2 linked regions of the Elephas maximus indicus genome follow. The protein of the gene in region 1 interacts with the protein of each later gene in a biochemical or structural test. Links are inferred from orthologs where the notes say so. Each region holds a gene or a part of one and is shown in the gene's direction. Other genes may lie near its edges. The genes, in order: LEF1 and TLE1.

What was found.
Region 2: the proteins of LEF1 (region 1) and TLE1 form a complex in vitro, tested with the Homo sapiens proteins (2 studies listed by BioGRID and IntAct, with this or other methods). The link is inferred for Elephas maximus indicus from reciprocal best matches to the Homo sapiens genes LEF1 and TLE1.

Annotation. Positions count from the first base shown.
Region 1 is NC_064823.1:43,111,549-43,126,557, forward strand, and holds the start of LEF1 (lymphoid enhancer-binding factor 1), read left to right. Parts: upstream 1-9,379; 5' UTR 9,380-10,590; coding exon 10,591-10,803; intron 10,804-11,382; exon of another isoform or gene 11,383-12,045; coding exon of another isoform or gene 12,046-12,054; intron 12,055-13,265; coding exon 13,266-13,332; intron 13,333-14,780; coding exon 14,781-14,914; intron 14,915-15,009. UniProt on the Homo sapiens protein: Transcription factor that binds DNA in a sequence-specific manner. Participates in the Wnt signaling pathway. Activates transcription of target genes in the presence of CTNNB1 and EP300.
Region 2 is NC_064827.1:98,613,531-98,629,004, reverse strand, and holds the start of TLE1 (transducin-like enhancer protein 1), read left to right. Parts: upstream 1-9,980; 5' UTR 9,981-11,341; coding exon 11,342-11,365; intron 11,366-12,132; coding exon 12,133-12,233; intron 12,234-13,701; coding exon 13,702-13,765; intron 13,766-13,880; coding exon 13,881-13,925; intron 13,926-15,474. UniProt on the Homo sapiens protein: Transcriptional corepressor that binds to a number of transcription factors. Inhibits NF-kappa-B-regulated gene expression. Inhibits the transcriptional activation mediated by FOXA2, and by CTNNB1 and TCF family members in Wnt signaling.

The DNA of each region.
Region 1 (15,009 bases):
CCAAGGAGCACCTGGTGGATTCAAACTGCCAACCTCTGAGTTAGCAGCTGTAGCACTTACCCACTACGCCACCAGGGTTTCCTCTACCTTCACAGGATAGTAATTTATCTTTGTTGCTTGCTTTCTGTCAATGGAACCTAAGGAAAGTAGACTTGAGATCAGTAATTAGCAAAGCAGGATTTGCAAAGTCAAATTCAGATCAGGCAAAATAGCTTTATTTTTCCCAAAGAAAAGTGTTTAGTTGAGCCAGATGGCGATTCTGTAGCTTAAACTATTTGCACTGGCTCTCTCCATCTTCCGAATTCCCTCCCATAACTGCTAATTCTGAGTTTAAGCACAGCTATACAAGCAAAACCGAGTTAAGGAAAGAACTAGAAACTGACTATGCCCTGGATACATTTATATTTAGCCTGGATAACTCCACTCAGTGAGTCTGTTTTTACGGATGGAAGTGCTCATACAAAGGAAGTATCCCAAAGGTCAAATGTTATGTAGGCCAAGACCCTCCTCTGAGAGAGAAATGAAGATTTAAAGCAGTTACCCGTGTTTCAAATGGAAACAAACACAAATCAACCACAAGGACCCCCTAAAAGTTTCATGTCATGAGAAAAAGGGGCTTCATCCTAACCCTACAGGTTGGTTTATTTACTTTGATGGAACTCACTGGAAAATTGTTCAACTCCATGCTTCACTGTGCCTGCGTGGATGTGTTTTCTGAGCACTGGATGTAGTTCTTGTCAGTCAGGCACTTTCCAGAGCACTAAAATGTACAGATTACACACATCAAAGGCAGGCTGCAACCACTGTAGCTGAAATTTACACAAATCTGTGCTGCGAGTAACTGGATAAACAATGAGACTAATGACCTTGTTCTGCATTAATCTCCATATGGCTCAGTTGGTCGTACTCTTGCCTTTAGGCAAGAAGGTTGTGGCTTTGGCTTCTAGCCTCAAACCAGGGATTAGGCACTCACCCAGTGCTGACAGAGCCCAGGGCCTTGCTCCTACAGCCCAGGAAGCCTGAGAACACTACAGAGGTCACCCGTCTTATGAGGTGCATTTACTGCAACTCAAGAAATACCTCCATTGTCATATTCACTGACGAAATAGATTTACAAAAATAAGTAAATCCCCTAGCCATGCCTCCTCTTTCAGAGAACTTATTTTCTTCAACGCAGGGACCAAAGTTTTCCCTGCAGATTTTCAAGGCCTCCCCACTGTTCCCTCAAAGCAAGACAGAACCCTGGATGCCTTGGCCCAAACTCCTCTGTTGGCCAAGAAAACATTTCAAAATGGCTGCACTTGTAAAGAAGAGTTAAAGGGAGGAACTTAGCTGACCAGGAAACTTGATCAGCACCCACTTCTAATCTGGGATATTTGGGGGCAAAATATGTTTATAGAAGCAAAAGGTGTCTCGTAAGTACCCCCCCAAAATGCTACAGAGCCCCTTCAACACTATTTGGAAAGGCTGAGTGTTGCTGCTATCAGGAGACAGCCAGAAGAGATGGAGCATCTCAGGAGGGATCTGCGCCCCGGGCAGCCTTGGGCCACAGTGAATGGGCAGGAGGAGACAGAAGCACTGGAAGCCACCTCCACCCCTACTTTCATCATTTTGTATACAGGTCACATTGATGAGTTTATATTGGGAGGTTGAACCCAAGAAAAGACTCCACTGGTGGTGTTACCTTAGGTTAGAAAGGATCCCACATGACGCACACATGGCTAAATGCCCTAAGTACTGCCATGTGGTGCTCCTTTCACTTCACAGCTAGCCGGAGCCATAATCTTTATTGCACTGTAAACTTAAGATGCCTCGAGCCTGAGATATGTAAACACATTCTGTTCTAAAACATGAGTTCTCCATTCAACTGGTGAATGGATAAACAAACTATGGTACGTACACACAATGGAACACTACACAACGATAAAGAACAATGATGAATCCGGGAAACATCTCACAACATGGATGAATCTGGGGGGCATTATCCCGAGTGAAATAAGTCAGTCACAAAAGGTCAAATATTGCATAAGACCACTATTATAAGAAATCAAGGAAAGGTTTACACACAGAAAAAAACATTCTTTGGTGGTTGGGGGGGTAGGGAGGGAACAGGAGGGGAAATCACTAACTAAATGGCAGACAAGTGTCAACTTTGGTGAAGGGAAAGACAACGCACAATATAAAGTCGGTACAACTGGGCCAAAACAAAAGCATACAAGTTTCCTAGACACATACAAACACTTTGAGGGACCAAGTAGCTGGGGCTGGGGGCTGGGGACCATAGTCTCTGGGGACATCTAGGCCAACTGGCATAACGTAGTGCATAAAGAAAATGTTCTACATCCCACTTTGGTGAGTAGCATCTGGGATCTTAAAAGCTTGTGAGCAGCCATCTAAGATACATTTATTGGTCCCATCCTGCCCAGAGCAAAGGAGAATGAAGAAAACCAGACACACGGAAAATATTAGCTAAAGGACTAAGGGACCACATGAACCAGAGACCCCACCAGCCTGAGCTCAGAAGAACTAGATGGTGCCTGGCTACCACCACCAACTGTTCTGACGGATCACAACAGAAAGTCCTGGACACAACGGGAGAAAAATGTAGAACACAATTCAAGTTCACGAAAAAAGACCAGACTTACTGGTCTGACAGAGACTGGAGGAATCCTCTAGACTATAGCCCCTGGACACTCTGCTAACTCAGAACTGAAACCACTCCCAAACCCCACTTTTCAGACAAAGCTTAGACAGACCTATAAAACAAAAAATAACACATGTTGCTTCTTGGTTCAATCAAATATATGAGACCAAATAGACAAGAACAGGACAAGAACCGGATGAATGGACACAGGGAACCTGAGGTGGAAAGGGAGAGTGTGCTGTCACATTGTGGGGATTGCAACCAATGCCACAAAGCAATACGTGCATAAATTTTTGAATGAAAAATTAATTTGAACTGTAAACTTTCACCTAAAGCATGATAAAATTTTAAAAATACATAAAACAATTTCTGATGGGATTTACACAGTCCCGAGAAACACCTCTTATATACCTTTACAGTCAGTTCCCACAAGTTCTTTTTGCTGTCATTGTTACTAGTATATTATCCACATATACATTATCCCTTTGACAGTCCATCATACTACTCAGGCTATTTTCAGTTCCATTGTGAGTCCTGTCACATGCCTCACACACACATAAAAATTCCATGTTTTTAAGTGTCTTTTTTTTTTTTTTCCATCCATGAATCTGTTAAAAGCTCACTATAAAAAACGAGGCAGAGTTAGAGCAAACTCCCTCTCACCTTGAAATGTTCCTTCTCCCTCAGCACTCACTCTCGGAAAAAATGCTGGGGTGTGATCTTGGTGGCCTTCATAACATTACTGTTAGAGATGTGGAGATGGCCACAGCAGTGGACGTTTCCGTGTGAAACCATCCCCATTTGCTCCTGTGGTAAGATTTTCTAGTACTTTAGAAGTATATCCGTTACTGTTTTGCAATTTACAGGTAAGTTCCTGGGTGGTGCAAGCGGAGTCAAGAGGCTGGAGGCGCCACTGAAGACAGGCATGGTGAAAAATCAGTCACTGGGAACCTTAGAGAGCCCAGCTCTACTCTGACACACACGGGGTCACCAGGAGTCGATTCTGACTCCAAGGGAACTGGTTGGGTTTTTGCTTGTTTGTTTTGTTTTTTATAATGATCATCTTCATTTCATGGACTAATAATACCTTAAATTTGTACATACTTTCACATGCATTATCTCACTGAATTCTTACAACAGTCTTGTCCAGTGGGCTATTATTACACCCATTTTTTGGAGTAAACTGAGTCTGGAAGAGGCTAAATAACTTGCCTGAGGTCACACATGGCTTGAAAGGGGATGGCAGATCCCACCTCACACTCAACATTTCTGACTTTTTGCATTACACTGCTTCAAAACTGTCTCTCTTTTTGGCTACCTCCAAAACAACAGAATACCAGTCAAGGGGTGTACTCAAGAAAGGATTTTACAGTTTTTTAACCACAAAGATACAAATTTTTGTGGCTAATTGGTGTAGGAAAAGATCTCTACAGTCTATAACAAGAAGGTTTCAAAATCAGAGACCAGCTGTGATAGTGAGTGCTTTGATTAAAAAAAAAAAAAATGATACCAACATTGGTTTTTCAGGATATCTGTGGAAAAAAATCATGCGGTCCACCGTCAGGAGCCTGAAAAACAAAAAGCACCACAGCACAATGGACATATGCACACGTGTTGTGTCAGTCTTCACTCCCCAAACGTGGCTGCAGAAGAAAGTGGGAAGCACGTTGAAATAAGACAATATTTATGGCTGAAGAAATTCGGCTTCACATAACGGTAATTATGAACAAGATCTTTTCCCTAATAAAATTACTGCAAAACAAAATCTGGAGAAACTAAGTGCTTCCCTATGTTCTTCTCATTTCATGTGCTCAAGGATGGTTGCAGGGAAAGCAAGAGAGCAGAGGGAGAGAGAAAGAGCCATAGCGAGAAGGCTTCTGCTGAGGGTTGGTTTTGCTTTACAAACTGGAATGTGTCCAGGCTTGATTTTTATTTTCAATTCACATTTCAGATCCAGCTCCCCAAACTCTTTGATCTTTCTCCCTGTCTCCTTACCCGGAAGAGAACCCTTGGCCTTCTCAGCTGGGAGCTGGGAGCACACGTGGAAAGACTGGCTCGGCTCCATATCCTTGCCAAATTTAGTCACACAAAGGGGCCTGCGAGGGAAAAAAGAAAGGATGAAAGCGGCAGCCGCCCCGACTTCAAAGGCTGCGCCGCCGCGCCCGGCCCTGCTCAGGAGCCGCCCTCTGCCGATATAAGGCGCAGCTTGCGCGCGGGCGGCCTGTCCGCGCCGCAGATCCAGTGCGCGCCCCCGGCCCGTGGGGAGGGCTACTTGGGAGACCACCGAGGACCGGGTGTGGAGGGAGGGGAAGTAGGGGAGTGCCGCCTCCTCTGTGTTAGCTGCCAACTTCCAGAGGTCGGTCCCCACGCCAAGTTCAAGCGCCTAAGAAAGTTTGCAGAAAGGAGGAAAATGATAATTTCACGTAGGGTCCACTAGGCCAGGCGTCTCGTGGCCCGCAAATATATTGCAGCTCCCTCCTCCATTCCAGTTCCATTCCAGGAAATCCCCTTAGAGACGTAACGCCGGTCCCCATGCACTGTTTGTAACTACCGCAAGCACCATCCTAGGAGCTCCGGTTCCTGCTGGGGGCTAGTGGATGTTCCCGTCGCGGAACCGACTCTCGAGGGCGCATTACTGGGCTCTTTCTGACCGATTCCTCTGCGCTCTCCCCCAGCCTCGCCTTCCGTTGTTCCTGCCCACGGCCACCCGGGCTTGAATCTTCTTCCACCTGGCAGACTCGGGCCGTGGGCTCTGGCCTCCGTGTTGGCAAAGGATCGGCCGGCAGAGCCCACAGAGTGGAGTGAGATGTGGTTCTCCCTCGCGGCCGTGGGAGGACCCGGCCCTTCGACGGTCGCGCCTCGGGGCCCTCCCGCGCCGAGCTCTCCCCGCACCCGCAGGAGCGCGAAGGAAGCCCACGGAGGGCGCAAGGGACGGGCGGTTGCAAACACTTCGCAGGCGGGCCCCGCTCGCTCCACCCGCGCGAGGCTGCACCGAGCTGCGGACGCCAACGGGCGCCGGCCTTGCGGAAGCCTGGCGGTCGCAGGCGGCCGGATTTGGGAACGACATTTCACGGTCCCACGAGTTCTGTTTCCCCGGCGGGTGAGGGTTTGAGTTTGTTTGTCTTTGGAGTAGGCAAGGGGCGGAAGAGCCCCTGGGACACAAACTGCCGTTTCCCTCGCCCCCCCCCCCCCCTTTTCTCTCTTCTCGCGAAGTCCGTTAATCTGAAGATGCCCACAGCTTGTCTCCTGGTGAATCTGGGGTTAGGGAACAGAGGGTGCCCGAGTTCGGCCTCTGGAATCACGTTATTCGTTCTTCTAGTCCTGCTCCCTCGCTTCTCTCTTTCGGAGCATCCTCTTCCGTAGGATCCCACCACCTCCATCCTTTGGGATCCCACCAAAGCTGGGTCTGGGAGAGATTCCAGCCCACACAAAAGGGACGACCCGGAGCAGGGGCGGAGGGTTAGGACCGAGGGGGTGGAGAGGACTCTGAAGACACCGCGCTTTTCTTTCCTCCCTGTAATTAAGGACTCACTTGAGTGTCTTGTAGCAGAATCCACTGACTTGGCAGCAAAAGCGCCGGGGGAGGGGGGGGTCTTTTGGTGTGGGTGTGGGTCATTACCCTTGTTCCTCTGCCTCCCAGTGGGGGCTGGGCCCCGGTTACTCTGTGGGCAGCGAGGCTTGTCTTCGCCCCCTCCCCCTCTGTCCCGGAGCCGGGTGGGAGCCCCATCCCCTGGCCCCACGCGCAGCGCCTGCTACGGCGCCCAGTGCAGAAGGAAGTGTTGATATAAAACAAGTCGCTGTTCGCTCCCAAACTAAACCCACACAAACCAACCAAAGCCACCAGGAGGGGAAAAACCAACAGCAATCCAGCCAGCCCCTAGCAATTGTTTCACGGTCGGAATTAAATCACATCAAAACGCCCCCTGAAACCCACATCCTGGAGGAGTGAACCTGCAACAGCCAACCTCCAGTCGTTTGCTCGAGTTCACACGAACAACCTGCCTCTACATCCGAGGGGAGGGAGTGGGTGTTTATCCCGCGCCGCACCCACCACATCCCGGCCCTAGGATCCCACTCGCGGCACCGGAGGAGGCGGCTGAATATGCTAACAGCAGCCCCCACTTGAATTAGAAGAGGCTACCCGGCGACAGAAATGCCCTTGACAGGGACTACACCACACCTGGAGAGAGAGGGAACGTCTTCCTAAGGTTACCGTGCCCCCCCCCCCCCGCAACGCCCCGCTTTTTGCCCTAAAAGAAACACTTTACGTGGCAATGCCAACTCGCTCCCAGACAAATCTTTAAAATTTTTGGGTCCCTGGTATCTATTAAAGACTAAGTGCCTCCCATAAGAAGATTTGCAACAACGCTAAAAACCATCAGGCAACACCAACGCACGCCGCGGGGAGGACAAACGGTCACACCAATAAGCAGGGCGTTGGGTTATTTCGTTAGAAACAATGTTTCCAAAGGAGGAGGTTACAGCAAAATAACAAACTGGCCACCAACTCTTGGCCCCTCTGGTAAACAATTCCCATTAGTTATTGTTCCAAAAATTCCCATCCTCTTTAGCTCCTAATCTCCAAGACACCTGGAGCTGAGCTCCAAAAGACTTTGAGAGTCCAGACAATTAACATTAAGGAGAAAATGGGATTCGAATTAATTGCAACACTTAAACGGGAGTGGGGGGGATGTCCCAAAACCCAGCGACGCTGGGCTTCTAGAAATCTTTCCTGGGCTTCTAGAAAATACCTTCTGGCCATTCTGTGTGATGCTCACACCTCCTCGCTCCCTCCACCCAATCCTGGACAGTTTGATGCTAAGGAAGGTCTACTCTGCCTGCTCTGCTGAAATTGTATTTTCCAGTCCTCTTCCTATAGGTGAATTGGCGCAATTGTGGGAGGACTTTTGACTTTGTTTTCCCATATTTCTTTTAGAGCAGAGGGCATACATGTCTGACATAGCTACGTGTTCACATCTCTGGGGAGCACTGTACTCACAGTGATGCATAACTTTAAGAGAAGCTGCATACTGCCACCACCCAAAAGAACAAAAATTGGGTTTCTTTCCACCCTTTTTAGTATTGCCTTACAGACACGCTGTTAGCTGAATATTCTTTTTGTTTTTCTCCTTTAAGGCATAGTATTACTAGCTATTTAAAGGAGATTTAGTGTTTTATTCTTCCTGGCTCCCATCACCAGCCCCTTAATTTTACTCTAATCCCCCAGGTAGAATTTACATGTTCTATGGGACCGAGTGAAGTCTTTAAAAGGTACAGTTTTAAATATTGCTTCCATAGTAAAATCCCACCCCCACGAGTAGTTACCAGTAGATGAAGTTTTAAGTGCTCATTTAAAGTATTGTATATAGTGTCCAGCCTACAATGTCCCATTAAGAAAAGAAGGGTCTTTGCAGGGTCATTCCTATGTAATAAAGCTAAAGTCTGATTTCGTAGTGTGTCCCTCATTTTCAATTCAAGAGAGATGGAGACATTTCTTCCTGCCCCCTGTTTACTGTTCCGAGGTTTTACAGATGGCTACTGTATTGGCTATAATAATTTTGCCTGGATTTTTAACTGAGGGTTTGAGAGCCAAGGGACAAAATGTAATGTGTTTTCAAACTTCAGCTTCCCTTATACTGTAACTTTCACAAAGCATCTCCTTAAAAGTCCTGTACTTGTACAAAATGCGTCAAAGAGACGGTGGAGGCTGAAGAATTTTTGAGGTTGGATTCGGATTTGAATCTTCAAGCGTCCCTTTGAGCACGCAGTACAAGGTGCCAGGGACTGCCCAGTCCTCCCTCCTTCTTCTCTTGGATTCGCTCTCCTGGGTCCTTTTGCCTTCTCTTTCCCTTCCCGTTTGGCTTGTCTTTTCATTCTCTATGAGGTTCACACACACTGCGGTGTATATCTTCGAAAACCCCACGAGCGATCTAGCGTAACTCCGTATATCCCGTGGCGAAGACATAATGAAAGAGATATTGTTTTAAAAGCGATAATTAAGATCCAGTCTTCTTTGCTTCTTCCTCGTCTTATTTTTCTCGGTAAGCCTGAAGATTTTATTTTCGCTGACGTCTCCTCCCTTGTCTCCAAATAGCGTATGTGTGATAAACCACAACTCTTTTTCCTTGCTTCTTGCTTCCGTTCTCCCTTATTAGTTGAGGAAGGTCTGTTATATTTCCCCCTTTCCTTCTCTCTGTCCCCGCTTCCCCCCTCATCTCCCCTGTCAGAGCATCTATCAACGTGGTGTCGATCACAGCGGCGGCGGCTTCTCTTTCATCTTCCTCCCCCGGCCAGTGAGAGGGAGGGAGTGAGGGAGGCGGAAAGGAGGTGGGGGAGAAACTGCCAGAGGAAGAGGAATGGGGGGGTGGGGGGAGAAGGACAAGGGATGAGATGCTTAGATGATGAAGTTAAGCCAGTCGCGCAGAGTTTGTCAGTTGCACGCAGACAAAGCGAGTGTCTCCGTGGGTTACAAGCAGCGCCCGTTCCTTCCTTTCTTCAAGTTGCCTGACCATCCGTCCAGACACACACACATACACACACACACACACACACATACACACACCCCCCAAAACTAGGACTAGTCCTACAGGCTCTGGGAAAAGAAAAGGGGGGAAAAAAAAGCCTTCAATCACCACCTCCTTCTCGCACCTCCCCCCCCCCCTTCCGAGCCGGCAGCCAAGAAGAGCTGGAGGCGGGGGGGAGGGGAGGGGGAGGAGAAGCGACGCAAGTGTGTAGCTTTTCAGCGCCGGCGTGGCGCGGGAGGAGGAGAAGCGGTGGGGAGGCGCAGCCGCTCACCTGCGGGGCAGGGCGCGGAGGAGGAACTCGGACTGCGCGCTCTGGAGTCGGGGAGTCCGGACGTTCCCGGAGCCCCGCACGCGACCAATCTCGGGACCTCCTTTACCCCTCGGCCGAGGGAACCCGAGGAGCGCAGCTATTTGCTTTGACAGAGCGGGCCTCGCGGAGGCGTGGAGAGCGGCGAGAGAGAGAGTCTACGAGCCAGGCTGAGAAACTCGAGCCGGGAACAAAGAGGGGTCTGGCTGTGTGTGCGTCGACTCGAACTCTGGGCAGAAGCATTTGGGACCGAGACCCCTGCTGTGACTCCCGAGACCCCGCCGCTCCCTCCACTGTCTTGTCCCAGCGCTCGGCGGCACAAACTTTATTCTTGGCAAAGTTCTTCTCTTTCTCTTCCACTCCTACTCCGCCCCCGCCTTCTTCTCCTCCTCCTCCAGCAGATTAAATGCGCCTCGAGAAGGAAAACTGAGTCGAAAGGGAAGGAAATAAGCTCTAAAACGGACACCTCCAACCCTGGTTGCTCTTTTTTTTTTTTTTTTTTTAACCCCTCCAGGAAGTGGACATTGCGTTAACTTCTGATTCTCCTTGCGCCTTCTCCGCTAGGGTGAACCGAGTCTTTTTGTCCAACTCCCCTTTTCTCGGAAAACACACTCCCACATCGGCATCTCTGGAAGATACGGTGGAGAGGTTTGCGCCACGACGCGCTGACGGACCCTCCTTTGCATTTTCGCGAGTCTATCCCTGGGCAGAACCAGCGTGCTCCGCGCGCAGACCCCGGCGACGCGGGGGGTGTGGGGTGGCCGCCCAGGCCCGGGCAGCATAGCCTAGCGCGCGCGCGGCTCAGACGCCCCCAGAGGCGCCGGCCGCGGCTGCCTTCTTAGCTCCGTGCCCTTCGGCCTCGGGGGCGGGCGCCGGCGTCGGTCTCCGCAGAGCGGGAAGGCGCGGGCGGCCGCCGGAGCTCCAGCGCCGCCGCAGCTGCTCCGGCTGCCGGCTGGCGGCCCCGCACTTGCCGGCTCCGCTTCCGCTCGCTCTCCTCTCTCACGCACCCTTCCAACTCTCCTTTCCCTCCCTCCCTCCTTTTCGTTGACCGCCTCTCTTTGCTGCTGTCGCCGCGGGTGCTCCTCAAGCCGAGCGGAGATTACACAGCCGTCGGGATGCCCCAGCTCTCCGGGGGAGGCGGTGGCGGCGGGGGGGACCCGGAACTCTGCGCCACGGACGAGATGATCCCCTTTAAGGACGAGGGCGACCCCCAGAAGGAGAAGATCTTCGCCGAGATCAGTCACCCCGAAGAGGAAGGCGACTTAGCCGACATCAAGTCTTCCTTGGTCAATGAATCCGAAATCATCCCAGCCAGCAACGGACACGAGGTGAGCGGGCGGCTGTCCCAAAACCCCGAGAAGCGCGGCTGGGTCCTGGGGAAGAGGAGAAGAAGGAAGGGGGAGAAGGCGTGGGATAGTCCCGTCTGACGGGGCTGCAGTAGCGCCAGCGTTTAAACTTTTAGGGGGATGGTGGCCCTTAGTCTACATTCCCCTTTTGTCGTGTCGGGGGCGTGCAGGGCAGCTTACACCAAGTGGATCAGTTTAGGGGTTCGGTGGGTGAGCCGTTGTCTTGCGGGCAGGAAAAGCTGCCCTTAACCTATAACGTTTCACCTCCGGACATTTTGGTGCGGTTGAGGGAGTGTGATGAATTAGAGCGAGAGTGTCTGAACAGCACTGCTGAAAAGTTCTTCCATAGGACGGAAAACAAAGTGCACCCGCTATCTTTTTCGGTAGATGTCTCTGCAGAAGTGCGTTAAACCACCAAAAGGCTTAGGTGGAGACCGGCAGAGCGAGAGGAAGGGGGGCGGGAGTGGGCCGGGGGCAGGCGGGCAGTCCCAACCGCCGCCGAGCGGCCCGCAGAGGGGCGCGCGGGGGCGGTGCGGGGCCAGGTCCTTGCCGCCCCAGAGTCCCAAGGGCCAGATGCGCTGTGGGATCTGTGGGCAAGACCAGCCGAGCCACCCCAGGGGGACGTCGTCTTACCGCCCGCACACTCTATTTCTCCAACTCCAGTTACTCAAAAAAAAAAAAAGCATTTATATTTGAGGTTAGTTTGGGCCCGGATCAGGCCTGAAATCTTTGCAGAAGAAAGGCGAGTCTTGGAAGAGATGCGCCGGAAGCCGGGGCACCTCTCAGGGGAGGGTGGAAGGCGCTTTATCAGATCTCCTGGCCCGGTGGGGGCGATAGCGCTGGTAACCCGAGTAGAGTAAATAGAGACACGTGGGTGCCGACAAGAGAAAGCCGGGAGCAGGCCAGCGTCGGAGGGCTATTTCGGGCGGCGCGGAGACTTTTCGATGGGGGTGGAGGCGGATGGACCCTGATACCTGACACTCAATTGGCCACCCTTAATTCAACAACTGAGAAACCTTTGGAGGAAATCCGGTAGAAGAGTCTTGACACCCAAATGATTTCACCAACGCTTTTTCCCTCCAAAGAAACTTGGAGGGTATACCCTTTTTCCTTAAATGGCATCCTTCTGCCCCAAAAAAGAAAGCTTGTGGTTTTGGGGGCGGGGAAATTTGGGGTTTTAAACAACACGTTTAAGAACACCTCAGAGTTAAGCTCTCTATCCAAATGGCAGGGGTGAGTACACATTTTGGAAGGCTGGGGGCCCGGGTTCTGAGGAGGGCACAGGGCACAAGAATGTTCTTTATCCCATGAATCTTTTATCGCAATATGCCAGTTTGAGGAGAGTTCAGGGTGACGGAGGTGCACCCAACTCCACTTTAAACGTTTGTGGCTATATATGTATTGGGGAGAGGAGGTCCCTGAAAGGACATGTGTGAGAGGGACCACCTAACGTCCGAAACACTCAGACGCTTTTTGCCAAACTCTCATATTTAAAGAGAAGCCCCCCTTTTTTCTTTCTACTCATTTTCCATGACCTTCCTTAGTCCCTACATAAATTTTGCCACCCGCTTCAAATTTTTGTACACTTCTCTCGTCTGGGAAGAAAGACTGCGTTTGAAGCGAGTACCAGGGTAATAGGGTTTTGCTAATCTTTGCCACGGTGGCGAGGGGGCATAGGGCAGCCCTACGGTAAAGGAAGATGGTGAAGGGGTAATACCACTGATTTGCACGTGGTTGAGTCTGGGTGGATGGTGGTTACCAGAACTGATAGGTAACTGGGCTGCCTTTTAGATGTCTGTAACCTGACTGTCTAATTTTCCTCCCTATAACCGCAAAATAGTTGTACTTTTCTCTTGTAAGCATGCATGCAGCCAGCCATGGTAGATACGGAGCTGGAGTGGAGCTCCTGCAGGACTTTGATGAGGCCAGCGGCATTAGAACCTCATGTATGAGTGGTTGCCTTGCTTATGTTTAAAATGTCACTTTGAGTTGCAAAGTGTTTCAGCATGCTTTTAATCAGCTCTGACCGAAGCAAACAGAGGCTGAAGAGGCTATCAGGACACTCACCCCATTAACTCAAACACCTATCATGTTAGGCCTCCAAGTAGCCTTGATGTGTTTTAGGAAACAGAACAGTATGTGGATGATTCCCAAATTTACTATATTGCTAGTATTTTGTTATTATTATACATTACAATTCTGAGTAGATGATAAAAAAAAAAAAAAAAGATGATAGTCACTCCAAAATACAAGCTGAATAAAAGAGGGAAAAGATTTCCTACTATTCAACCCTAGCCTGCCCTTCTTGGATTAATAACACAGGCGGATTGGGTTGCCCCTAAACCACCTCCTCTGAGTAACCAGTGGGCACACCGTTATATTATTATTGTCAAAAACTCTAAGGTGCTTTTCTTTCTTTTGGGGGTGGGGATTCATGCTGTTAGGTGGCCAGACAAGCTCAAACCTCTCAGGAGTCCTACCATGACAAGGCCAGAGAACACCCTGATGAAGGTAAGACACTGATGATAGATTCTACTTCTTCAAACTTTATAATTTAACATAAACCGTTTGTGTTTATAGATGCTTGGCTACTTTTATTTGAGTTCAAGAAACCCAAACCAGATGTGATAAGACTGTGTTGACTGTTTTCACAAAATTGGGAAGAAAACCCAGGAAAGTTACGGCTTATCTCTAATGTATATTTGTATCATTTAAAAAATGTCTTTGAGTGAGTTAGCAGCTTTTGGATTTCAGTTGGTTTCCAGATTCTTTGGGGGAAGGAAACGTCTATAATGAATTTTTCTCTTTTCTTCATTTTACCTTAATTTTGAAATAGCTTAGATCTTTAGTATTTTTTTTCTGTGTATTATTATGAAGGATGACAGTCTGTTTTATTTTAAAACAAGAAGAGTTTTGAATGGCTTTTCATTTGCAAAATTGGTGTTTCTTGAGTCGTGTTATTGTGTGAGAAGGCAGCAGTGAATGCAGAAACTGCACAAGGCTTAGGAAAGCAGAACCTAACTTGAAAAATACAGTTTTATTCCTATAGTTAGGAATTAGGCATATCAAACATGATAACCAGACTGTCTCCCCATTTCTGATTCTTGCTCAAAACTTTTAAAATTACCTATTTTTGAGATTTAAGGTGAACTCCCTCTGACTTTGAAAGAGCCAGGCAATCTGTAGGATTTCCTTGTCCACTGGTCTGCATTTCTGTTCTCCTTTAATTACTTAAAATTGGCCTGACCAGAATGAAGTGTTCATACATACAGTATTTCAAAGAAGGGAAGAGAACTATAATAGCAGGCTTCCTTTTCAGCTACAAATGGTTACACAGATGAAAAAGAAGAAATCTATATACTGAACACACACAAATTACTTTGACAGAATGATGTAAGTGAAGCACATAAAAATCCTGTAGTTAATCCTTCATAAATTTGGGTAGTTGCCCAAATACTAGGGTACAACTCCCTCTTAGTAAAATAGTTCTCTTTCAGAAATCCAAAAGCCGAGGTAGAATTTTTCAGTTTGCCTGTGAGGTGAAATGTAATTGTGTGTGTGTGTGTGTGTGTGTGTGTGTGTAGGTAGACGGCCTAATGTATTTATATTATAGCCTTAGATTTGTGTATGTTCTTTCATGTGTCTTTATTTTTTAGTCCAGTTTGTTAGTATTAGAAGAAATTAAGTTAGATGGATAACACTTACTTTTGTAAAAACACCAGTCAATAGTGGAAGTAAATTGAACCACATGTTTTTAAAACATCTGGTTTGCTGCTAAACCATTTAAGAGAATAAATAGTGTCGATCTGCAATAGAACATGGTAATGCAGTTACGGTATTTTGTAAATCTTTTACGTATGGCCAGATTTTCTTAGAATTATCAGATTTTCAGATGAAAAACTACGGTGATATACAAAGGGACGGTACCATATCATTGATTGTTCTTTGGACTCTCCCAGGAAAGCATCCAGATGGAGGCCTCTACAACAAGGGACCCTCCTACTCGGGTTATTCCGGGTACATAATGATGCCAAACATGAATAACGACCCATACATGTCAAATGGATCTCTTTCTCCGCCCATCCCGAGAACAGTGAGTAACACCCTGATGTTGTAGAGTATTTCAGAGGTACAAATGAATTTGTATTTCGGCAGAATGTTTATCTTTTCAAACACATTGGAAATTCT
Region 2 (15,474 bases), on another chromosome or scaffold:
TCACTGGGGGAGATGTCATGACATTCAAGGAAAGCGTATTTGAGACCTAGTTCCATTAACCTCTCACTGGTTAGCCATTTGTTTTTCTTATTATCTAAACAGCCAATCAGGACATTTAAAAAACCCAACCAAACCCACTGCCGTCAAATTGATTCTGACTCATAGCGACCGTATAGGACACGGTAGAACTGCCCCACAGAGTTTCCAAGGAGCACCTGTTGGATTCGAACTGCCAACCTTTTGGTTAGCAGATGTAGCTCTTAACCACTACACCACCAGGTTTTCCTCAGGACATTTAGCCATCAAAAAATAGCTGTTGTGTGTTAGTCATTATTTGTTTTTGTAACTCTCCTGCCTCCAAATTGCATTTCTGCTTCCAAAAAGATATGTGCACTAGTGCTGTCTTTTCATGAGTGTGGAACATTGTATGAATGGGGGAGGGGGGCACCTCAAGGTCCGAGGCTCCTGTCTTTCCCTTACTGAAATCCATTCATGTCGTCCCTGAGAAATAGGATAAAGTACTCCTGGGCCCCAGAGTATTGTGCCACTATTGGACCAGCATTCCACAGAAAACACTTTTGGAATCCACGTTGCTATCTGATGCATCTATAGCAGGGACAATACTTCCTCAGCTCCCGGAGGCCTAGGGCAGGGTCTCTAACAGGCCGCAGGGAAAAAAGGGAAACGGACAACGTTCTTAAGGGCAAGGACTGTGCTAAATACTTTACAGGACTATGCTATCTCAGTCATCTCTTTCAGTTCAAGCAACCACCTTGAAAGATGGGTTGGTTACCTTCATTTTAGAGGTTAGGAAACTGAGGCCCAGAGAGCAAGTGGTTAGCCCAAGGCCATACAGTAAGTGGTTGCTGGGGTTTCCATTTCAGCCCCCTCTGTCTCTGAGATGTGTGTGTGTGGGGGGGGAGTGGGGAGTGGGATGAGGGAGTCAATGGGATGTGAGGGAGGCTGAGAGGGGAAACAGAATTGTGAGGCAGAAAAGGGCAGTTAGAAAAGGGGTGACAAAAGGATTATTCGGGAGATTCTCTGAAGAGTTTTGAACCTTACTGATTTGCAACTTGAGAGGGTAAATTCCTTGAAGGCAGGGATTGTGATTTCTTACTGCAAACAGTGTAAAGGCAAGAAAAATCTGCCTGACTGTTATTCAGCTGACCCTGGTCTTCAAGTCTGGCAAGTCCTAGGCTTCAGATTGCTTGTCACTGAAAAAGGGATGATAACAGTACTCACCTAATGGGAAAGATCTGAGGATCAAATGAGGTAATACAAACATGTAAAGCACATAGAACAGTGTCTGCCACACACAGCAAGTGCTCAGTAAACAAATAATGGAATACTTAAATATAAGAGATGCGTACGGTGAGAGAATCCACTGTAAAACTGGTACAGGGGAAAAAGAAGGAATCTTCCTAACTTTTTCATCTATGACTTCTTTTTTTTCTTCAAATTTTCAGTAATTAAAGATGTAAATAGGATGACACTCTCTCCTCTATCCTTCAGAGGCAAATAACTTCTCTTGAAACACCTACTGGGGTTACCTGAAGATACCTGTCTCTATAAAAAAGACCCAGTGCACTGGGGTTACCTGAAGATACCTGTCTCCATAGGAATGCTAATTTGAAAACCAGTTTCCTTCAGAAAGGTATTATTCCTTGAGGCAGGCAGTTTACATTCATCAACATTTCTCTAATACTTGTCAGTGTTTTGTAACACTTTTTCAAGTGCCAATTGTAGCTTGCCAGTTCTTCTGAAGTGTGGAGGCTGCTAATGGGGAAACCAAAACTCTGTTCCCTTGGGGCTTTTTCTGTCATGGTGAAGCAGAAGTTTTTTTAATCATTTTCATTTTAAATAATCATCAATTCTGTGGATGATGGCTAGAAATACTGGACGGACTGATTAGTCACTGGGGGTGAGATAATGCTGTTTTCCCTTTATTTTAGTACTTGCTTCCCTTTGAGGCACTCAGGTTTTTCCTTGGAAATTGTGGATTCAATCTGTTTACACACAAACTAGAATCTGCTTAACCAATGTCACAAAAAAATTCTCCCTTCAGTAAGCATAATGGTGATAAGAAAAACAAAACCATGCTAAATAGCTATGATTGAAGAAAAAAAATTTGATCTACAAGGCATCTGAACTTTCAACTCTCAGATTACACCTTATCACTTTTCATGACTTTTTGGGAAAACTACCTATTTATTTCTTGTTGTTGAGTTGGCTCCAGCTCACAGCTATCCCTACTCACAGTGACCCCGTGTACAAAAGAATGAAATATTGTCTGCTCCTGTTCCAAGGTCACCATCTTTGGTATACTCGAGTCCATTGTGGTTATTGCATATTTTGAATGCATTCCAACCTATAGGGAAACCCTGGTGGCGTAGTAGTTAGGTGCTACGGCTGCTAACCAAAGGGTCAGCAGTTCAAATCCACCAGGCGCTCCCTGGAAACTCTATGGGGCAGTTTTACTCTGTCCTAAAAAAAAAAAAAAATTTTTTTTTTTCTTTTTTTTTTTAAAGGGTTGCTATGAGTCGGAATAGACTCAATGGCACTGGGTTTGGTTTGGTTTTTTTGGTTCCAACCCAGGGGTAGTCATCTTCTAGTACTATATCAGAGAACAGTGATCCAGAGGGTTTTTGTTGGCTAATTTTCAGAAGTAGATCATCAGCCCTTTCTTCCTAGTCTGTTTTAGTCTGGAATCTCTGCTGAAACCTCTCCATCTGGAGTGACCCTGCTGGTATTTGAAATATTGGTGACATAGCCTCCAGCATCGTAGTAACACGTAAGCGACCACAGTACAAACTGACAGACAGGTGGTAGAGCCCTTTATTAGCACATGATAAACATATACCTCTGTGAATCTAAAGGACTCAACCTCAGTATCCAAGATTTAATGCTAAATTCATTTCTTTTTAAGGTTAATATTTAAAGCTTAGTACACAGAGCTATAATCTGTTTCAGCAATATATTTAAAACTAGGGACTTTAAAAAGCAAACTATATACCACTACTAAGCTCTAGTGATAAAAAGGCCAGTAAATAATGAAAATTAAGAAATTAAAATAAAATTTATTTGCTACTGTCTTATTCTTAACATGTAAGCAATTTTCCTCTTGATTTTATAGTAGATTTTCTGGTGATTCTGAGCTTGATGGCCCACAAAATGACACATTAGAGGATTGCTAATGTAATGCCCTAATTTATTTAAAGATTTCCATTTTATATTAATCGACAACTAATGGACATTTGAGACTGTGAGGGGGAGGGGAGGTGGGTGGTAGTGGATAGAAACAGACAAAAAACAAATAGCATAAATAATAAAAGAACTAAAAGATCCAGCGCTACAACTCTGTGTAGTACTTTGGTTATCAGTATGATAGCTTTCCATGACCAAGAAAATAAATAAATAAGATCACCATTTTTTAGTGCTTTTTTAACTAGAAACATTAGAGGCCATTCTTGTAACCATGAAGAGAATTCATCTAACATATGAAGGAAAAGGAAATCCTGGTGGCATAGTGGTTAAGTGCTATGGCTGCTAACAAAGAGGGTGGCAGTTCAAATCTGCCAGGTGCTCCTTGGAAACTCTAGGAGCTGTTCTACTCTGTTGTATAGGGTTGCTATGAGTTAGAATCAACTAGAGGGCAGTGGGTTTTTTTTGGGGGGGGGGGGGGAATGAAGGAAAAGATGGAGACGATGAGCCTAAAAGTTTTTTTCCGAAATCTCTTATCATGAAAAATTTCAAACATACAGAAAAGTTGAAAGAATAGCAAAACCAAGAGCTGAATACTCTACCCTGAAATTCTGTAACTATTAACATTTTGCCAAACTTGCTTTCTCTTTTCTCTCTCTCCACACACACACAGTTTATTTGCAGTTCAGACATCATTTGAATTGTATGCTTCAAATGCATCTTCTTAGGGTAAGAACATCCCCCAACATAAGCGCAATTATCTCACATCTAAAAAACCACTGTTTACCTGATATCCAGTCCACATTAAAACTGCCCCCAAGAAGGTCTTTCATAGTTTTGTCTTTAAACCAGGGGCCGCAAGATTTGCATGTTGCGTTTTCATTTTGTGTCTTTAGTCCTCCCCACTTTTTTTTAAGAGCCCAGGCCAGTTGTCTTGTGGAATGTCCCGCATTCTAAATTTAGGCCATTTAACTTGTTCACCTAGGCCTCAACCCTGCATTCTAGAAACTGTGACGGTTTCTGCAATCGCCACTTGCCTTCACAACCCCAAAGCTCCTCTGCCCTCCACTATGCAGAACACCAAGAGATCATCCATTAGGGTTGGAATCCACTAACAGTTAACAACAACAAAAACAAGTTTTAACCCTTTGAAGAAATTGCTAGCTTCAGGAAGAAATTCTATTTAAATGATACTGACACAGCAAAAGCTCTTGATATTCAAAGAAAGGCATCTCAGTGTAACACTGACTTTATAGAAAGTCCTCGGTCTGCAGCTTAGAATGATCCCTGTATTAAGGGACCAAGGTCTGCTCTTGTTATGCGAATATGCAGGAAGAGGCATCAAAGGTGCTTCCTTTAGCTACTTTTTCTTTTGTCTACCAAAAGGCCCTCAGCTCTTATCTGGCTGAATGCTAAACTAAAGGAATTAAAAAAAAAAGTTGTATTACCTCAACTCTGAAACATTAGAATGGGTTAAGGAGGGAGGGGGGACTGACTTCATTATTATGGTCTGAGCTCCAGGCAGGTATTTGCTGCTGCCCCCAAATACTGTCCTTGCTTTTCAAGGACATCCTGCTGGTGGGCTTGAAAAGCTCTGACAGAACTGTACACCGCTGAAACTATTTGAAAGAAAGTAATCCTGAATCTGTTTTATTCTAAATGCTAAATTTATCAGACTGCCTTTAACACAAAGGAGTGTGCCATACTTGTGCATAAAATGCAAACAGGCTTCTAAGGAGGCATTAAAAGGCAGAAGAACAGGCTACAATGGCATTCATATCTGCACTTTTATGATTGTTGATAAACACATGCTATTTTATTTTGGACTGATATCTCTCTAGAATATAGATTTAAATAAACACACGCTTGGTCCTGGGTGAGGTGGTGTTCTGCAGGCCACTGACACAGTCAGGAGTTTTAAAAGCATGATGGGCCAGCTAAGAAGTTTATCCCTCTGGTGCCTCAGATGCTCAGTTTATTTGAATGCAGAGTGAATGGCTAATCTCCTACAAGTTTTGGGGCTTAAACAAGGTAAACAAATGGGTGGGCTGTGAAAGTAAACACTTGATTTCCTCCCAGGCTCAGCTCTGTCTCCAAAATTCCTCTCCTTTACTCCTTTTACTATCCCAGCCTTCCTGCTCCCAAGCTTGGTCTCTCAGACCCTGTGAAAGTACTGAAATTGCAGAGGAGACATTTTTAATGATAAGTACTACAGTAATGAATTCAAGTACACTCATTTATCATAAAGGGCTCCCCATCTGTCTCTAAAGGATGCTTAAAAATGCTGTGTATTTGATAACATTAGCATCAAGCATCTTCCACGTGTTAATGTTCAGTGTTAGAGGTTCGTGCCCCCCACCCACAAAGACAGCCAGGCTGTGGTTTCAGAAAGAGCACACATATCTATCTCTGTGTTTGGAAGTGCCTGTGTGGTCTCTTGTCCTAATTTATTTGCACTCCAATCCTCAGGGGATCGCACTGCAATCCCCGTAGGGCAAAGGGAGATTAGGGGATGGGGCTGTCTGCCTCTTCCCACCCTCACAGAGAAGGGAAAAAAACTTCCCCCAAGTCCCACAAGTTCTCCTGGCCACTGTACAAATTGTTCTTGAGCGTGGAGCATTTCCAAAAGACCTAATTAGCAACTCACAGCAAACATTTCTTTGCATTAGCTAATGATCCGGCTACACTTGTAAGCAAACAGAACCAACATATCTAATCAATGCTGAAAAACCAACCCAATGCCTATTAAACATCTGGATGTAATTTTCTACTTAGAACAAAATGAAAACACATGCAGGTTCCTTTGATCTGCGTCTTAACAAAGAAATTGTTGATAAAAAAAAGCATACTGGCCAGTCAATGTGTCATTTTCATAAAGTCTACTCATTTCTCTTCAAATGCTCCCAGTTCAATTTAGTTTAGGTTTCCTGCAATCTCTAATTTTACCATATTGTGTGAAACCACAAGAGATTCTTTGGATGTAATTTTATTTGAGGTTTTACTGCTTCATGGATCTGCTACTGATTTTTTTTTTCCTTTTTTGCCTTCTTTCTCTCCTTCTTTTCCTCTCCCTTGTTCTTTGGCAAAGAAGCGGGGAGAAAAAGGTTAAAAAGCAATGCTGGGAAAAGTGCTTATGGATCCTATATCCTTGGGTTTAAAGGAAACTTCCAGTTTTAAAAAAAAAAAAGGTCAAATATATAAAACTATAACTCAGCTAAAAGGAAAAAGATAATGACAAAGGTGGCTTTTCAAAGACTGGCACATTATTTATTTCAAATAAAACAGTAATTTAAAAGAAGATGAATAATTTCTATGATCAAATACCCACAATTTTTCCTGTTGTGTTTAGCACCTAGACTATCACCTAGTTTTGATAACTGCTTATTATTTATACTATCGATATAAGGTCCCTGGGTGGCAAAAACAGTTTGCACTCAACTACTAACCCAAAGGCTGGAAGTGCAAACTCGCCTGGTGGCACCACAGAAGAAAGGCCTGGAGATCTGCTTTTGTAATAATTCCAGCTAAGGAAACCCTATGGAGCAGTTCTATTGTGTGACACACGGGGTTGCCATGAGTCGGAATCTACTGGACGGCAAAGGATTTGTACCTCTGTGTTTTTGTTTATGCTACTGGTGAGTTGAAATGTTTGATACTCAGCAGCAAATGAATGGAAATATACCCATATACGCATCTATGATAAAATAAACTATCTGACAATCTTTCTGTGTCCTCTGCGGAAAATGAAAAAGTATACCGTTTTTTTCAGAGACAATTTCCTGTGAAAGTGGCATACTTGACATTATTTCATGTAAAATCATCATCAACATATGAATATGCTAAAGGTAAAGAAGATTATGGTTAACAGACTTTAAATAAAACCCAACCCAGTGACAGAAGACCAAAATTACAGATTTCATGAGTAGAACTATTTTCTTTTAAACAGACTGTAGGCAATCTACACATATATTATTCATTTAAAACATAAGATTAAAGCTACTTGATTGTTTAAACACCATCATTTGTGATGCAGTTTGATGAGAGTTTTGTAGTATAATTATTTCAGCATGACAATCACGGAGAAAATACGACCTTGAAAAGAGGCAGAGCCTTCTCCCTCTCAAGGAGGATGCTCTGTGTGAGAAAGCCACCGAAAACCAAGCATTTTTAAGCTACAAATGAAGGTCTTCTAATTTTAAAATCATTGTTCTTTCTTTTCTCCAAAAACTCCGTTTTAAGTAAATCAGAAGGCCTGGTGTTTTAAACTCCACTGGTAAGAAAGCACTAGTCAAAAGAGAAATCACAATTTTTACCCACGGCAAACAGTGAGTGAATAGCTATGATAGAAAACATTTAAGGACAACATGTCAGAACTGATTCTGAGGGGTGTGTGGTGGCGAGAGACGAGAAGGAGCAATACTTCTTGCTCCGGTCCCAAAATACACTTTTAATTTCTTTCTGTATGCTTAATTACTGGGATGTCAGCAAGTTCAGGTAGGTAAAACTGGGTACCAGGGAGATGTGTCAGCTACCACAGTTGTCCCAGCGCCTACAGGCATTTTCGTGGCACGCAAGCACCTTCCATCCAGTCCTGGAGCTGATTACGAGATGAGCTGACCGGACACTGGCGGATATGGCACCACCATTAGGAGATGATTTCAAGGAACACAGGTTGCCACAGGACAAAGCTTCACTGCCCACGGATCCCATGATTTTAAAAAGTTCTGTCTGTGGAGCAAGTCTGCTCTTCTCGTCACCAAATTTAACCATTAAAGGAGAGGCAGTGTTCCCTTCTCTTTCATACTCCATGTTAACTGTTAGCTAAAGAATAATATAACCTTCTCCCTCACCCCACTTAAAAAGAGTGCTGCAAAGCTACACTGCTGAACTTGTTTAAGCTATGGCCTATGCAGGCTGCCTAAAATCACTTTTATTTTTTCATTTACAATTGGTATTTAGGACTGATGCAATTATGGCTAAATCAGTATCAGTATTTTAAAACAAACGAACCAGTGAAATGTATTATCTAAAATGATTGGCTATTTCAAGAAAAAAAGTCTCTGTATATTTTTGAATAAAATCTATTTGTGTTTAGGTATGTGCCTTCCCACAAGTCTCTTAAAAGTAAAAAAAAAAAAAAAAAAAGGGAACTTGGGGTTATTAATACCCCAAATTTGTTAGGTTGTTAGGTTCTAACATAAGATGAATGCTTGTCAAAGATGGGTGTTTCTCATGAAAGCAGTCATTATTACTTGGATAAAACAGCATTATTCACTCATGGATCATGTGGAAATAGCTTATCTGAATTGTCCGTTAAAAGTGGAAACGTGACAACATTGAAGGTTTTCTGCCGTGTGGTGTATTTAGAGAAATAGAGAAAAACTGGAGACTCTTAATATTAATTATACAACATGCTCTATTTATTTAAAAATCTCAAAATCCATTTGTTCTGTAAATCTTTAAAGTACAATTTAAAAAAAGGCTAGGAAAAAAAAAATCTGAAAATCCCTTTTTAACTCAAGTTTCATCTCCTAAGAATTTTAGCCATGTCATTTATTCAGCTCTTTCCATTTAGCTCCTTATACAGCTCAGCCCGGGTACCATCCAAACTATGGGGGTGGGGTGGGCGGGACAGGTTTTTCAGGTCTCAGTGTTGGTTTATTCCATTGTCTCCCTTTGTTCCCAGGAATTGGAAACAGACTCGTGGTCATGTTGCTGCAAGGCTCCTAAAACTCTCGCCGCCCCCACCCCCCCCAACACACACACATAGCGAAATCTGGACTTTTAAGGCAAGGAACCGAGATTTCGCGCCCCGGGCAGAGCATCGCATCTACGCCTGGGACACGCGTGCCTTACCCTGGCGGCACCTTGGGGATCCTTCCCGCCAAACGAAGGCAGGTGAACCTTTTTGCAAAGTATTTGAAATCCTCCAATAAGAATCAAATTCTACAACTTTGGGTGCAAAGCCGAGTGGGCATCATGCGGCTGGTGTACCTACGCCAGTCAAAGCTTTGCCCATTATGCATTTTCCCCCAACTGCACAGTTCACCCTTCCTCGCGCATCCGTGAAAAGGCAGCTTTCCGGAAAAAAATACAAAAAACAAACAAACCGCAAAAATATTTGAATGTGACCTTTCACTTTCAAAAGAATGGCATCAAACAAGGGGCCAGCACCGAAAGACGTGTTTGGCTTGAAATATCAAAGAGTTCCCCTCTTCCCCCTCATAAGAAGCTACGCAGTTAGTCTCTGAGTTACTGAGATCTGAGGATTTTCATTGAAGGAAAAAGTGAACAAGTGGCAGGATTTTTGCTAAGTGGAGCCCCCAGCTTCCGCGACTGCACGCTCGCCGGTCCCTCCCGCTCGCGCGCGCTCGCGCGCTCCCTCGCTGGCCCCACGTTACTTTGATTGACAGCCCGGCCTCGCGGCTCTCCTTCCCACCGACCTTCCCATCCTCAGTGCCAATCTCCGCGTCTCGCCGCTTCCTATTGGCTGGCTCCAGAGTCCCGCGGCTCCTTCAGGAACACTTCCTCACCAAGCCCGGGAGGACGCGGCTGGCGGAGGAGGAGCGGGGGTGGGGGGAGACAGGAGAGACGGCGGAGATGGAAGCGAGTGGGGCGGCAGAGAAGGGGAGACGCGGGCTGCCCGTCCGGCGCTGCGCTGCCATAGGCTCCGGGAAGTCTCGACGTCAGCACCCCACGTTGGGCGCGGCGCGCGCGATTGGCTGACGCTGGTCTCTCCGCGGCCCCTCCTCGCTCGGGCCCGCGTCCCCCGCCGGCTCCGCGCTCGCGCCCCCGCCCGCGCGGGGCTGGGCGGGGCCGGCGCTGGTTAGCTCCGGAGTGTGAAACCGCGTGTTAATGTAACCGGCGCGAGAGGCGCGGGCGGCGGCGGCGGCTGCAGGAGCAGCAGCGTCGGGTACCCCGCGCCCCCGAGCCGGCCGACTGCGCCACCCCCACCGAGCGGGACCAGCGCCACCACTCCTGATCTCCGCCGCCCCGCGGCGACCAAACCCCGCCAACTGCCGCCGCCGCGGCTACTCCGGGCTCGCCCGCGGAGTTTGCCCGCCGAAGAGGGAGGCCGAGCGGCGCGCACTCTTGCTTTTCTCCCCGCTATCTCGTTGATGTCATCCCCGGGGTCGTGAGAGAACTTTGCAGCCGGCCGGAGCGCCGTTTGCGGAGGCGCAAGCGAAGAGAAGGAAAGAAAGAGGATCGAAGAAGGGGCTCGGAGGAACGGTCCGGAGCAGCCGTGCGGAGCGACTACGAGCAGGGCGCGGCGCCCGGATGCGCCTGGGGCTCGAGGAGCAGCGGACGGCTGCGGGGCTGCTCTCCGCGGAGTAGCCCCGTCGGGCCGGGAGGGTTTGTGCAAGCGCAGAGAACACCGAGTGCCGGGCGCACGGGGCGTGCCGAGCCTCCTCCCGGCGCACCCTCCGCACTTTCCCCGCCTCGGCGTCATCCCGCGCTCCCCGGGCTGTGCTGAGGCTGCGGAGCGCAGGGCGCGGAGCCTCCACCGCGCCCCCGGCGTCGTTCCACGCCGCCTCTAGGCAGCTAGCAAGCGCCCGGCCAACGGCGTAGCCAGTGGTCGGCTACGATAGTCTCTGGGTTTGTTTGTGTGGGGTAAGCCGGGGCGCCACCTGCACCTCGCCCGCCGCCGCCGCCGCGGGGAAAATCCAGAGAGGAGACGGACCAGGAGAAAAGCAAAGAAAAGCCACACGCCTGGATTTGTTTGCCCAGGACGGGCGCCGCGCGCTCGGATCGCCGAGGGGAGCGCGGCCGAAGTCGCCGAGCCCCCACCTCCCCGCCCCGGCAGTCGAGGCCCGAGGGTTGGAACGTGGGCCCTGTGCCTACTCTTCGGGCGCCAGCGTCGCCGCGCAGGTTCTTGGAGCTGCCGGGCCTAGGGGGCCCGTGATGTGGCCCTGAGCGCTCCCGGGAGCCCGCACCGGCGGGAGCAGGAGCAGCCGCTGGCGCCGAGTGGCCGGTGCGCCCCGCCGAGCGCGCCTGCTTGCGTGGCCAGGGCGCCCCCCGCCCCCTGCGTGTCCCGCTTCTGCCTGCCTTCTCGGCTTAATTTTTCTCGGCGGGATTAAAGTTGGAAATTGAGCGGAGAATTCAGTTGCCCGGGAACAGAGCCGCGGCCGCCGCCAGAGCTATGTTCCCGCAGAGCCGGCACCCGGTGAGGCGCGGCCCGGTGGGTGGGGGGGACGTTGGGGCAGGTTTGTGGGTGCGTGAGGCACTGTTCCTTTGCCATAGGGAAATGGGTAGTTGTTACAACCTAGCGAACCCCTCCACGGATTTGAGGCTAGGGAGGTCCCGGGCCGCCTCCTCAGCGTGGGGAGTGGGCTGAAACTCTTGGCCTCCTTCCACTTGTCTAGACTGGGCAGAGGGGGCGCCCAGGGAGGCTGGGGTTTCTCTCCCGCAGCCACATCCTCCCCCCTTCTCCGAGTTCGGTTGGGGGCGCCCCCCTTTGTTTCTGGTCTCGCTTATTTACATGTCAATGCGGCCCCCGTTCCGGCGCCCCCGGAGGTGGCCCCGACGACTCTGGGAACGGGGAGCGTAAGGGAGTTGTTTTTTTCCTGCGGTTACGGGGGTCGTTATCGCCCCTGTGGGGAAGAGGGACCAGGCACGGCGACGACAATTTGACCCGGTCCGCCCCGGCCTCCGGGAGCCCCCCTTGCTCGGCCATGTGACCTGGGGGCGCTTACCGCCAACCTTCCCGAAGGCTGGAAGAGACTCTGAGCCTCTTTAGAAGCTGGGGGCCAGGGAAGTGTCCTCTTTTCTCTCTCCAAAGTGAGTCGTAAAGTGCAGTTCGGGTTTTCGTTTTGGGCCATTTTTAACTTTATTATTATTGTTGTTTTTATGCCCCACTCACTCCTTGTTCTTACTGACTGCTTTATCTGCCCGCACCCCTATCTCTCCGTCCCCCTCGATGCTCGCCCTCAGACGCCGCACCAGGCTGCAGGCCAGCCCTTCAAGTTCACGATCCCGGAGTCATTGGACCGGATCAAGGAGGAATTCCAGTTCCTGCAGGCACAGTATCACAGGTGCGTGTCCGGCCGCGCCGTGCGAGTGGTTGTCGAGGAGTCCATCTGCAACGTCCCGGTGCCCCTCGCCCAGCCCGGTGGCGGCTGCTGTACTTAGTACGTGCGTCCAGGCGGTGGCGTGTGGAGTCGAAGTTAAGACCTGTCATTCACGTTTCCCCCTTTCCTGGCTCTTCCCAGGCCGCCTCTTCTCTTGTCTCCTCCTGCTTCCATTGTTTCCCTTTTGCCCGTTTGCTGCTGTTCCAGGGAGTCCTTTTTCGTGCATTTAGGAGTTGCATGAGAACCGTCAATATTTGCACTTCATTTAGTTATTTTGCAACAGGCTGAGCTAAAACGTTGATTCAATCGATGCCTTAGCCCTGGAGTGTGGGTTCATGGAGGCAAAGCCAGTGTTGAAATAACTGCTTGTCATACTAGGGAATTGGATTGTCTGAGGCAAAGTCCACCGTGGAAGGCTAGATGCTTTTAGCTGTGTCCATCATTGGCGTTGATTGGGACTGGGTGGGGGAGGGGGTAGTGTGTAGGAGAAAGCTCTCTGCTTTGGCATCTTTCTAAATAGGTTTGGGCAGGACAGGAGATTGGAGTCACACTTTTATATCCATCTCAGCTTTAGTTTTCTCATCTAAGGATACCTGCCTTGAAATGATTTATAAGTGAAAACTGTAAAGTATCTGGCCCATGGTGGACTTTACAGAAACGTTAGTTCCTCCTCTTACTCTTATGAAGTCTTAGCTGGTTGGAGCTACGAAATAACTGTCATGACAGTTTTTATTTTTTGTGGTACATGGAAAAGGCACACAGATGAAGCTAAGTGGCTTGGGTGTAAATTTTCTGATTTTTTTTTTTTTCCAGGGGCTTTCTGATTATTGACCTTTTGTCTCCTCACAGATGATATCTCTAGAGCCTGAGGCATACCTGCTCACACCAAGTTTACTGAGCAGGGACAACTTCCACCCACTTCACTGCAGTAGCTACTTGACATATTTCGGCAGGCATTTCAAAACCAGAGGTTCTAAAAGACACCAACAATTATAGAAAAACTTTACAGGCTTTCAAACCTAGAGCCTGTTGTTTGAGTTGGCTAAGATGACACAGCCTATTTCTGAAAATGGTGCAAAGACTATATTGGTGGGATCAGGGAAACAGTGTGAGGCAGGAAAGTAGGAGTGAATAAATGGTCAGGAAGAAGAAATCAGTCTTCTGGGTAGGTCAGAGGTTTTGATGAGTTTTTCCATCTTGTCGCCTGTGACCAAGAAGAAAAAGAGTGGTAGCTGAGTGGGTAGTTTGTACTGTTTACCTTATTATTCCTTTTCCATACTAAATGCAAGGACAAAGCTTTTGGGTGTTTACCTAGATAGTTTATGGCTTTTCCAAATTGATCTGTGTTTTTACTTGGAGTGCAAATATGTGAGGCAGATGTTAAAACAAGTGACATAATGTTTACATTAAGTTGCCTGTTTTGTTTTCATAGCCTTAAATTGGAATGTGAGAAGCTGGCAAGTGAAAAGACAGAAATGCAGAGACACTATGTGATGGTAGGTATCAAAGTTTGGGCTTTTTTTTTTTTCATATAAATATTAGCAGATATGTGTTCTTAGCGTTACAAGAACGTGAGTTAATGAAATGCTTAATGCTTTTTTTTCTTTACAGTATTATGAAATGTCATATGGATTAAACATTGAAATGCACAAACAGGTAAGCTTTAGTTACGTACAAAGCTGAAATGAGAAATTAGTTCATTATGATTTTATACTGGCTTTGTCCTCAGTAGTGGGGGGTTTTGTAAGCCTTTTTTCTGCCTTGGTTTCCCTTCCTGTGAATTGGTGTAATATTCTGCAGCAAGGGTTATTTCTTGACAGTTATAGGATGTTTACATGACAAGGTGAGAGCTTAGGAAATATAAACTTGTCTGTTTATAGGCAGATAGGAATTGAGACTGTGAATTTACTTTTCAATCGGGATAGATTTATTCTCCTCTTGAAAGATCTGGGTATCCTTTAGAGTTGCTGAAGTTGAGAATAGCTGCTTTTGTGCTGGTTTTGGTTTCGAAAAGAAATATGGACCTGCGGGGGCGAGGAGGGTATTCAAAGAGTTTCTCTAATTGCCTGAAACAAGGTATGTGACTAACTCTGGAGTTCCCTTGGTGCTTTGGGACTGCATAAAGAGACACCCAGATTCGGTGGCTTATTAGCAAATGTCTTTTTGAAAAATGCCTCGGTTGATGCAGGTTTGGACAGGAAAAAAGCACCTCTTTATGGCCACAGCATATGTTGGGAGTTCCTTCAGTCCTAGTGGTTTTAAAAGCATGAAAAGATTAGTGACTGGAAAGCTTTAGCTATGACTATGAGTTTGCAAGTTCCCATAAAATTCACACTTATGGCTACTATAATGGTGTATAAAAAGAGTATTGAGCTGGAACAAGGCACTAAGGACCTCGTAAGAGAAGAAAAGCTAAATGATTGCTCAGCCCAAAGGACCCTTGATTGAGTAGTCATTGTCTGCCAAAGAAAGCATTAATGGCAGGGTGTAAGTATTCCGGAGATATGCTGACATTCACTTTTTCATCAAGACGCTGGTACAATAAGTCTTTTAGAAATCGATTGCCTCTTAAAAAAATTATCATCAGATGAAGTTGCACAGTTGGACACATTTCAAAGTGCAACAATACAATTCTTACTTGATGTATATGTGCTATTTCATCTGAAACCCTTGTTTCATTAAATTAAAGAGCATGGCTGACCGGCTGGGGCACAGTGGAGAAATTGATTAGTTCAGCCTTCAGATCTTCCTTATATTCAAAGAGTTTCATTAAGCAAGTGTGTTTCAGAGTTGAATTCTGCTTTTGTAGCTCTGCCCTCTTTGATTTTTAATTCATCGTAGATTTCATAATGTTATCTCATACAGTAGATGTGTTCTCAGATATGTATTTGGATGGAGATAGTTAAGGTCAGGGCCTTTTATCAGTAATATAATTGAGCTTTTTAAAAAGCCGATGTTACTCTGATTTGCAGAGTTGGTAACCGAGTTTGTGTTGGGTTTCGCCTTTGTTTTTGTGTGTTTGGATGGCTAGTGCCCTATTGAGGTAGTTGTAACTTGTTGATAATTGAGCTCGAAGATCTATGGCTAAGCTTCAGTCATTTAAATGAATTATGCAAATAAACTTGGCCTAGGAGTTTTAACTTGTCGCTTTTTTGTTAAAAAAAAATTAATCTGAAAGGTACTCTTTTGGTAGCAGATATACTGA